2 linked regions of the Xenopus tropicalis genome follow. The protein of the gene in region 2 interacts with the protein of the main gene of each other region in a pairwise test. Links are inferred from orthologs where the notes say so. Each region holds a gene or a part of one and is shown on either strand. Other genes may lie near its edges. The genes, in order: arl2bp and arl3.

Region 1 (4,373 bases), on a different chromosome or scaffold from region 2:
TTAGCCTTTTCTCTAAGCCCTAGTTACCTTTTGGCTAAGTTGGGAGAAGAGGCTCATGATGACAGGTACTGTAGGGCATACCCCCCAACTGTCCCGCTTTCTATAGCTCGTCCCGCTGTCCTGGATAGTTCCCTGAATGTCCCGCATTTTCGTAATAGATTACGGAAATGCGGGACATTCATAGAAGGATCCGTGACAGCGGGATGAGCGCTCCGACTCCTTGCGCTGCTTCTCTCCTGTGGCTCCTTCGCCGGCGGTCCCTGGTCCTTTTATAAGGTTGCGCCCGTGCGTAATGACGTCACACGTACACACGGGGCGCAACCTTATAAAAGGGCCAGGGACCGCTGGTGAAGGAGCCACAGGAGAGAAGCAGCGCAAGGAGTCGGAGCGCGTATTGGGGCTCTGTGTTTTGGGGGCTATGTGTTTTGGGGGGCTCTGTGATTTGGGGGGGCTCTGTGTTTTGGGGGGCTCTGTGTTTGGGGGGCTCTGTGTTTGGGGGGCTCTGTGTATGGGGGGGCCTCTGTGTATGGGGGGCCTCTGTGTTTGGGGGGCTCTGTGTATGGGGGGGCTCTGTGTATGGGGGGCTCTGTGTTTGGGGGGCCTCTGTGTTTGGGGGACCTCTGTGTATGGGTGGCACTGTGTATGGGGGGCCTCTGTGTATGGGGGGCCTCTGTGTTTGGGGGGCCTCTGTGTTTGGGGGGCCTCTGTGTATGGGGGGCCTCTGTGTTTGGGGGGCCTCTGTGTTTGGGGGGCCTCTTTGTATGGGGGGGCACTGTGTATAAAGGGTACTGTATATAAAGGGTACTGTGTATGGGGGGTACTGTACATGGGGGGGCTCTGTGTATGAAGGACACTGTGTTTGGGGGGCTCTGTGGGCTTCCTTAGGTAGTACAGTATGAGGGTATAGCACATTTGCATCTGATCCCACCATTTCATCAATATAAAAGGAGTATTTTTAGAAAAAAATGGTGTGTGTTAATTGGGGCGTGGTCACAAAAGTGGGCGTGGCCAAAAAATTGCCGCGCTGCACGCGCCAAATCTTTTTGTCCCTCTTTTTATTTTTCAAATGTTGGGAGGTATGCTGTAGGGACCAAGGAAAAAATGTCTAGTAACCTGTGACACTGCTGTAAAACAAATACTTGGACCCTTTTTGTTTTTTTGTCAAATTCGTCAGCATGTACTGTTGCAGCCACTAAAAAGTTATTTTTTCAATTCCCTGGCACATTTGAGCTCTCAGCAAAAATTACAAATTACTTCTGCGGTAATACTGGGAACTGAGGTGGCATGTATCATGGTGGGCAACCAAAACAAGTCTCCTTTTTATTCTTCTTTGTTCTCTTACGAAAGTATGGGACACGAGCAGAGGGAAGGCAGATTGTGAGGCACCCAGCGCCACACATTAGCAGCTTCTATTTGTTTTGAGGCTCTTACGCAGTCCCCATAAGGCGGCTATGTGCGCGGCACTGTGCTTAAGTGTAGCCGTGACGCTAAATCTCGCGTGATGAGACCAGGAGTCGGGATTTTGTGAAAGAAAGAAGGAAGCAAGCAGTTAGAGGCTTTGCTGAAGGTGCAAGTAGTGATTCACGACTGTGGGTTGTTTTATGAAAAGCGGGACTGTTGGGCACTGTGCATTTACTTGTTTGGAAGGTGAGATTTTAACTCCCCCCCAGCCTAGCCAATCCCTCATACGGCTCAACCGGGACGAAAACTGGGACAAACCATACGGTACATAATCTGGGTAGGGGAAAGAAGCTGCAGGTACCCTAGCAACCACCCTCCCTTCTAAACTCTGTAGCTCATTGAATGTAGTGGGCCCACAATCCAAGTAAGTGCAACACAGCCGGGCCCCGTAAGACGCAGAGCACACTGGACTTGAGACGGCGCCCCCCCGCTCTTACCCTTATTAGCTACAATTTATATTTTCTTATGGGCACTGAATACCTTCTGCTAACTGCATAATCAATGTAACCTTATCATCAAGGAACCTTCTATAATATTCCTTTGACCTGTTTTAGGTACATTTTTTAGGACATTGGCTTACCCCTGGATATCTGCACCGCTCTGATTCCCATCATCCCTTTTCAGGTAAGAATCACTTCAAACTGAATTTACTAAAACCCTTATATCATGAAATAGCTTTTGTGTTTGTGGGAAAGGCTAGATCTAATGTTAGAGATGTTTTGTGACTTATAAGGTATTTAAATATTTATGTGTTACCGTTCCTTAAACACTTAGTATATTGGTACCATTATCCCTTTGAAATGGACACACTTTTTGACTCCGTATGGTTTGTAGAAGGCATCTTAAATGAGTAACGATTAACCATCTGAAATGAGTATAGAGTATAGTATATTATTCAGGCAGGGGTTGCATTACTAACATAAGTGCTGATTTGCGTTGTGAGCTTAAATTTTATTATTATTGTTACTTTTATTATCTATCCAGAACTTCTCCTATTCCTTTTCCAGTCTCTCATTTAAACCACTGCCTGGTTGCTAATGTAAACAACATCCTAGCAACCAGATAGCTTCTGAAATTTTAACCCTTTCACTGCCAGCCGTTTTGGACCAAACTGGAACTTCTACTGCCAGACAGTTTTTGAACATTTTGCACTGTTTCACTTTAGGGGCCTTTCCTCGGGGGGACTTTTAGTTTACCCAGGAAAACAATATATATATATATATATATATATTGCAAAAAAAGACCAGCAACACCGGATCTATTGTGAATAGTAGATTATATTAAAAAATGCATGAACAGCCAACGTTACGTTTCGATCCCCATCGGGACCTTTCTCAAGGTTGCCTTGAGAAAGGTCCCGATGGGGATCGAAACGTAACGTTGGCTGTTCATGCATTTTTTAATATAATCTACTATTCACAATAGATCCGGTGTTGCTGGTCTTTTTTTGCAATATTTAATTTTTTTACCGTGCACCCGGGACAAGAATTGAAGCGGTGTGCCATCCTTGGTTTGATATATATATATATATATATATATGTTTTTTTCAGGACAACCTAAGCTTTTAAAATATGGTGGAATTTTTGTGTAATTCCAATTCTGTAACAAGATATAGGCTTCTAAATGTCTAAAAAATGAAAAAAAATATTTTCCATAATATAAACACATACACCAGAAACAAAAATTATTTTATGCATGAAAATACAACTGATTTGGAAAGTCCCATGTCTCCTGAACTTGCCAATGCCAAATATATATAGGATTATGGAGATTTCTCACTTGTATAGGTCAAAAACTCCCTGCAGTACACTACCAAATTTCCAAAGCACTGCTCCAGAAAGCTGCACACTTTAGATTTCAAGGCCAAAAATTCCACTAACAGAAAGTTTATCCCAGAAAATTATACATTTTTAAAAAGAACAGATTCTGGGGAATCCAGAATAGGTAGAACTGCCTGTCTACTCCAAACTACTAAGTTGCAATGTTTTCCTAAAGTTATTGGTTTTTATCAAAATTTGTGAAAATTTTTTAAAAATCGCTTCAAAGCTTCCAGTCTGTAGTATCTTATCTCCTACAGGTCATAAAGTAACCAGATAAAACACCCTAAATATGAACGCCAGGGGTCCACTGAACAGTTTGATGCCCAATATGTATAGGTTTACCTAAGTATGTGGCATGTAGGGGCCTGAATGGGAACATACCCCCATATGATCTATCATTTCTGTCATTTCAGCTTCTGCAAAATCAACACATTTACATAATTATATGTGGGATAATGCTAGTAAAAAGTACATTCCCCTGAGAAAGTCATATATTTTTGGAAAGTAAAACCCCCCCCCCCCCCCCCGAATTTAAAATGGGTACCCATGTCTTTCTACTCCAAAGTACTAAGCCGCAAAGCTTTCCTAAAGTTGGCAATTTTGATTAAATTTCCAAAAATCCCCTCAAAGCTTCCACTTTGCAGCATCTTATCTCCCACATAGCATTAGGTACCAAGCTAAAACACCCTAAATATGAACCCCAGAGGTCTACTGAACAGTTTGATGCCCACTGTACACAGTTTTATCAAAGCACATGGCACTTAGAGACCCCCCAAATATACCTTGTGCTCACTAATTTTGTGGCTTACCTTAACCTAATTCATAAACACATGGCAGTTTTATGAGGGGTAGAAGCTGCAGAAATGTAGCATGACCCCTAAAAACCATATATTTTTGAAAAGTACACATTCTGACAAATCCAACATGAGTTAAGAAGACTTTCTGCACCAAAGTACCAATCTGGAAAGCTTTCCTAAAGTTAATGGTTTTTATGACTTTACTGAAAAAGGCCTAAAATTGTTGCAATTTGCCATATTTATCTTACAACATTTCTTACGTATAATGACACATCACCCTAAATATGAATGCCAG
Region 2 (4,302 bases):
AATGTGCTGCTGCCCTGCACTGGTAAAAGTTGTGTGTTTACTTCAGAAAGTCTACAATAATTTATATAAATAAGCTGCTGTGTAGCCATGGAGGCAGCCATTCAAAGGAGAAAAGGCACAGGCACATAGCAGATAACAGATAAAACACTATTGTATTCTACAGAACTTATCTGTTATCTGCTATGTAACCTGTGCCTTTTCTCCTTTTTTCCAGCTTGAATGGCTGCCCCCGTGGCTACACAGCAGCTTATTATATAAATTATAGTAGTGTTACTGTAGCAAACACACCAGTTTTACCAGTGCAGGGCAACAGTGCATTATATTTTTATTACTTTAAAGCTCTTTAATTTTTTGGTGTTACTGTTCCTTTAAGGTATGGAGATCCAAATTACAGAACAATCCCTTATCTGTAAAACCCCAGGCCTTGAGCATTCTGAATAACAGGTCCAATACCTGTATATGCAAGTTTAATTGAAACAAATATACACTGTAAACACCACTAGGACAGGAACTAATGTGAATGATCAACAACCACTATAAAGTGTTGTTTAACATCAGCACTATATCAAAAATGATTTATAATAATTGTTATACATTATGAAACATACAGTTGTAAATATATTTAAACAAAGAGGCCCATTGCTAGTGTTACTGATTTATCAAAATGTGAGTTTAAAGTCTAATACACACAAAAACTCACCCATGTTCTATTCATTCCTATGGGTTTTTAAGAAGTGTATTTATCAATCGGTGAAAGTTCACAATTTGATAAATATGCTTCTAAAATTTCCATAGAAATACACAGATCATGATTTTTATGTATTAAATAAGTTAAACATTTATATATTATGTTTTTATGTATTAAATCTGACTTTAAATCTTAATCCAAATTCCAAACTGGAGAACTGCAGCCAAAAATAGTTAAATACATAAAGTAACAATAGTAACACCAAAATAAATGAAATGAAAATGTTTTAAAGTAATCAGGACATAATGTACTGTTGCCCTGAAATGTTAAAATGTGTGTGTTTGCTACAGAAACACTACTATAGTTTATATTAAACAAGCTGCTGTGTAGCCATGGGCTAATATGTTTTCTGCTATGTAACCTGTATCTTTTCTCCTTTTTTCCCCAGTTTAATGGCTGCATCTCATGGCTACACAGCAGTGTATTTATATAAACCATAGTTGGGTTTCTGAAGCAAACTCAACTGTTTCAATAGTACAGGACAACAGTACATTATATTTCAATTACTTTAAAACGCCTTCATTTTTTGATGTTAGTGTTCCTTTAAAAGGGCAGTATACATCTACATATAGCTTCACCATCAAATGAATAGAACTTACCCTACAAATACATTCTGCCTAGTCTGTTAATATAGAAGAATACATATGTTCACAGTTATTTTTACCACACATGAAACAATGCTTACTGAAACAGAACCACTCATAATGCATTGTGGTCAACCATTAGAAAAGTTTTTGCAGGTGAAGCGTATTAGGAATGGAATATTAGGATGAAACTCTTGAATAAGCGGTGCAACTGACAAATAAATGTTATCATAATTACTTATCTGCTTGCAAGTTCCTATTTTGGGGACAGAGATGCCAATAATGACTTCAATAGGGAAAATTGGGCAACATCATTCTGTATGGCAGGTCTGTACAAACTAGAGCATTATAGGCCTTTAAGGTGGCCATACACCTTGTAGCTGCCGATATCGGGACCTTAGACTGATTCGGCTGCTTATCGGGCCATGTAGGGGGACAACAGGCCTGCCCGACCGACATCTGGCCTGAAATGGGGCAGATATCAATCGGGCAGGTTAAAAAATTTGGTCGGATCGGGGACTACGACGGCTCGTTGATGCAGTCCCCGAACCAATTGCGCCTATTACCAGCGTTCTAATTCGATCGTTTGTCCCCAGGGCCAAACAACCAACCGAATTAGCCTGAATTCACCCAATATCCCCCACCCGTAGGTGGGGGATATCGAGACAAGAGCGGATCTTGACATGTATGGCCACCTTAACTCCTCAAGTCATTATTACAGCCCCTAGTTTGCTCAAGGGTTTAAAAAACGTATTTTTATGACATCAAAATGTGCATATAATCCAGCAGCGGAACATGTAATGTAAAAAATGATCAACAAACTACAAATAAAATTTGATCCACATTGATTTATAGTCAACAGCAGCATAACGGAGCCCCACAGCGAGATCATTTGAGCGCCCTCCAAAACTAGCAGCAACTGCAGGGTCTGCCTCCTCTCCAGATACTACTGCTTGTATAAAACATAACGTTATCTCTACTTATCTACATCCATGCATTGCTGCTGGGGACTATTCTACTGATGTACAGGATGTAATACATCAATGAGACCCAGGAGAAATAGATAAGAGCAGTCTCTAAAAGAGACCAAAGATTTTTATGCTCGAATTAAAAGATAAGGTAATATCTGTATTCCCTTTGGTATAGACCTGGCATTAGGCCTGGAGCTTTGCCGATTTAATCTCTTTCCTTAACCCCTTGGAGCCGGAGAGCCTCTAGCTGTGACTCTCCTATTGGCCTGGAACTACAATGTCCGGCTATCAGGGGATTCTGGTAGTTATAGTTCCCGGTCCCGGTTACGGTGTGTGCGATTTAAGCTGAAAAGCAATGGATGAGCAGCGGAACGGTGACAGTCCTCCCTCTCCCCTCCCTTTTTACCTCTTTAGCATCATGGCGTCCCGGCAACCATAGCTTTCTATACCCATTGAGGAATTCTCCTATTACACATTTTTTATTTACCAATAAATAAGCTAGTTTTCATTATCTGCTGCCTCTTTCCCTCCCCAAACTCCTGAAGGATTTTAACATCCTAAAATACCAGATACGAGAACCCCTCAAAGCACCACTCACCATCCTCTCAGCGACTCTCCAGGTTACCAGGGGCAACTACGTCACCCAGCGACGCGGCGTGCGTTGTACGTTTAGCCACGCCCCTAGACGCTGCGCATTGAGGGCAAACCTCGCCCTGAACTACCACCTTGCGGCGGTGTGCGCATGCGGAAAACTTGCAGTCGCTTGTAAAGCACCAAGGGAAGAGAAAGTGGGAGCGGCACAGATATGGGACTCGATTGGCTGAGGTAATAGGTGGGGGCAGTCCTAAAGGCTACAGTGATCTAAGTAGCTAGCGTGGACGGAAGACCTGAAAAGTGAATGGCAGTTAGTGGAGTGAAGAGTTGTAGCCACGGTACAGGTACGGTACATGAGGAGTTTGCACTATGTACAAGTAAATGCCTAACCGATGTGCATTGGTGGCTTTGAATTTTGTTATGGTTGCATCATATGTATAGGTGAAAGGCTATTGCAAGGTTCCTGTGCCATATGTACTCCTTAACTGCCCTTATGTGTCCATTGTGGCATTGTAAGCAACTGTAATCTTATATATATCATATATAGGGAGAAATGTGCCTGCTGATAATCTGATATAGGGAGAAATGTGCCTGCTGATAATCTGATATAGGGAGAAATGTGCCTGCTGAAGCGTGTATAGTACGTATCGGTATAGTACGTATCGGTATAGTACGTATCGGTATAGTACGTATCGGTATAGTACGTATCGGTATAGTACGTATCGGTATAGTACGTATCGGTATAGTACGTATCGGTATAGTACATACATTACATTAACATTTATTTATAAAGCGCCAACATATTCCGCAGCGCTGTACAATAAGTGAGTTACATACATTGGACATACAGAGTAACATATAAAGCAATCAGTAACAGATACAAGAGGTGAAGAGGGCCCTGCCCAAAAGAGCTTACAATCGTATCGGTATAGTAAGTATGGGTATAGTAAGTATGGGTATAGGTATAGTACGTATCGGTATAGTAAGTATGGGTATCGGTATAGTAAGTATGGGTATCGGTATAGTAAGTATGGGTATCGGTATAGTAAGTATGGGTATCGGTATAGTACGTATCGGTATAGTACGTATCGGTATAGTACGTATCGGTATAGTACGTATCGGTATAGTACGTATCGGTATAGTACGTATCGGTATAGTACGTATGGGTAGAGTTATGTATGTAGAGTTATGTATATGTCAGTTATATATAATGTATTATGAGCGGTTCCCTATAGGGGGAACTGTACCTGCTGAGCTGTGTGGGATATGCTACAGTTTAGTCAATTATATGGAGAGCTGTCTCTGCTGAAACGGCACTCTAATCATGTATAGTGAGTGCTGTCTCTGCTGAATAATGTGCTTTAAATGGCGCTGTCTCTGCTGAATAATGATTTCATTTTAATGG

The links.
Region 1: the proteins of arl3 (region 2) and arl2bp interact in binary tests that used the Homo sapiens proteins (3 or more experiments, as listed by UniProt). The link is inferred for Xenopus tropicalis from reciprocal best matches to the Homo sapiens genes ARL3 and ARL2BP.

The regions. Positions count from the first base shown.
Region 1 is NC_030680.2:51,244,634-51,249,006, forward strand, and holds the start of arl2bp (ADP-ribosylation factor-like protein 2-binding protein), read left to right. Parts: upstream 1-1,535; 5' UTR 1,536-1,569; exon of another isoform or gene 1,570-1,725; intron 1,726-2,015; 5' UTR 2,016-2,085; intron 2,086-4,373. UniProt on the Homo sapiens protein: Together with ARL2, plays a role in the nuclear translocation, retention and transcriptional activity of STAT3. May play a role as an effector of ARL2.
Region 2 is NC_030683.2:29,019,795-29,024,096, reverse strand, and holds the start of arl3 (ADP-ribosylation factor-like protein 3), read right to left. Parts: upstream 2,999-4,302; 5' UTR 2,905-2,998; coding exon 2,902-2,904; intron 1-2,901. UniProt on the Homo sapiens protein: Small GTP-binding protein which cycles between an inactive GDP-bound and an active GTP-bound form, and the rate of cycling is regulated by guanine nucleotide exchange factors (GEF) and GTPase-activating proteins (GAP).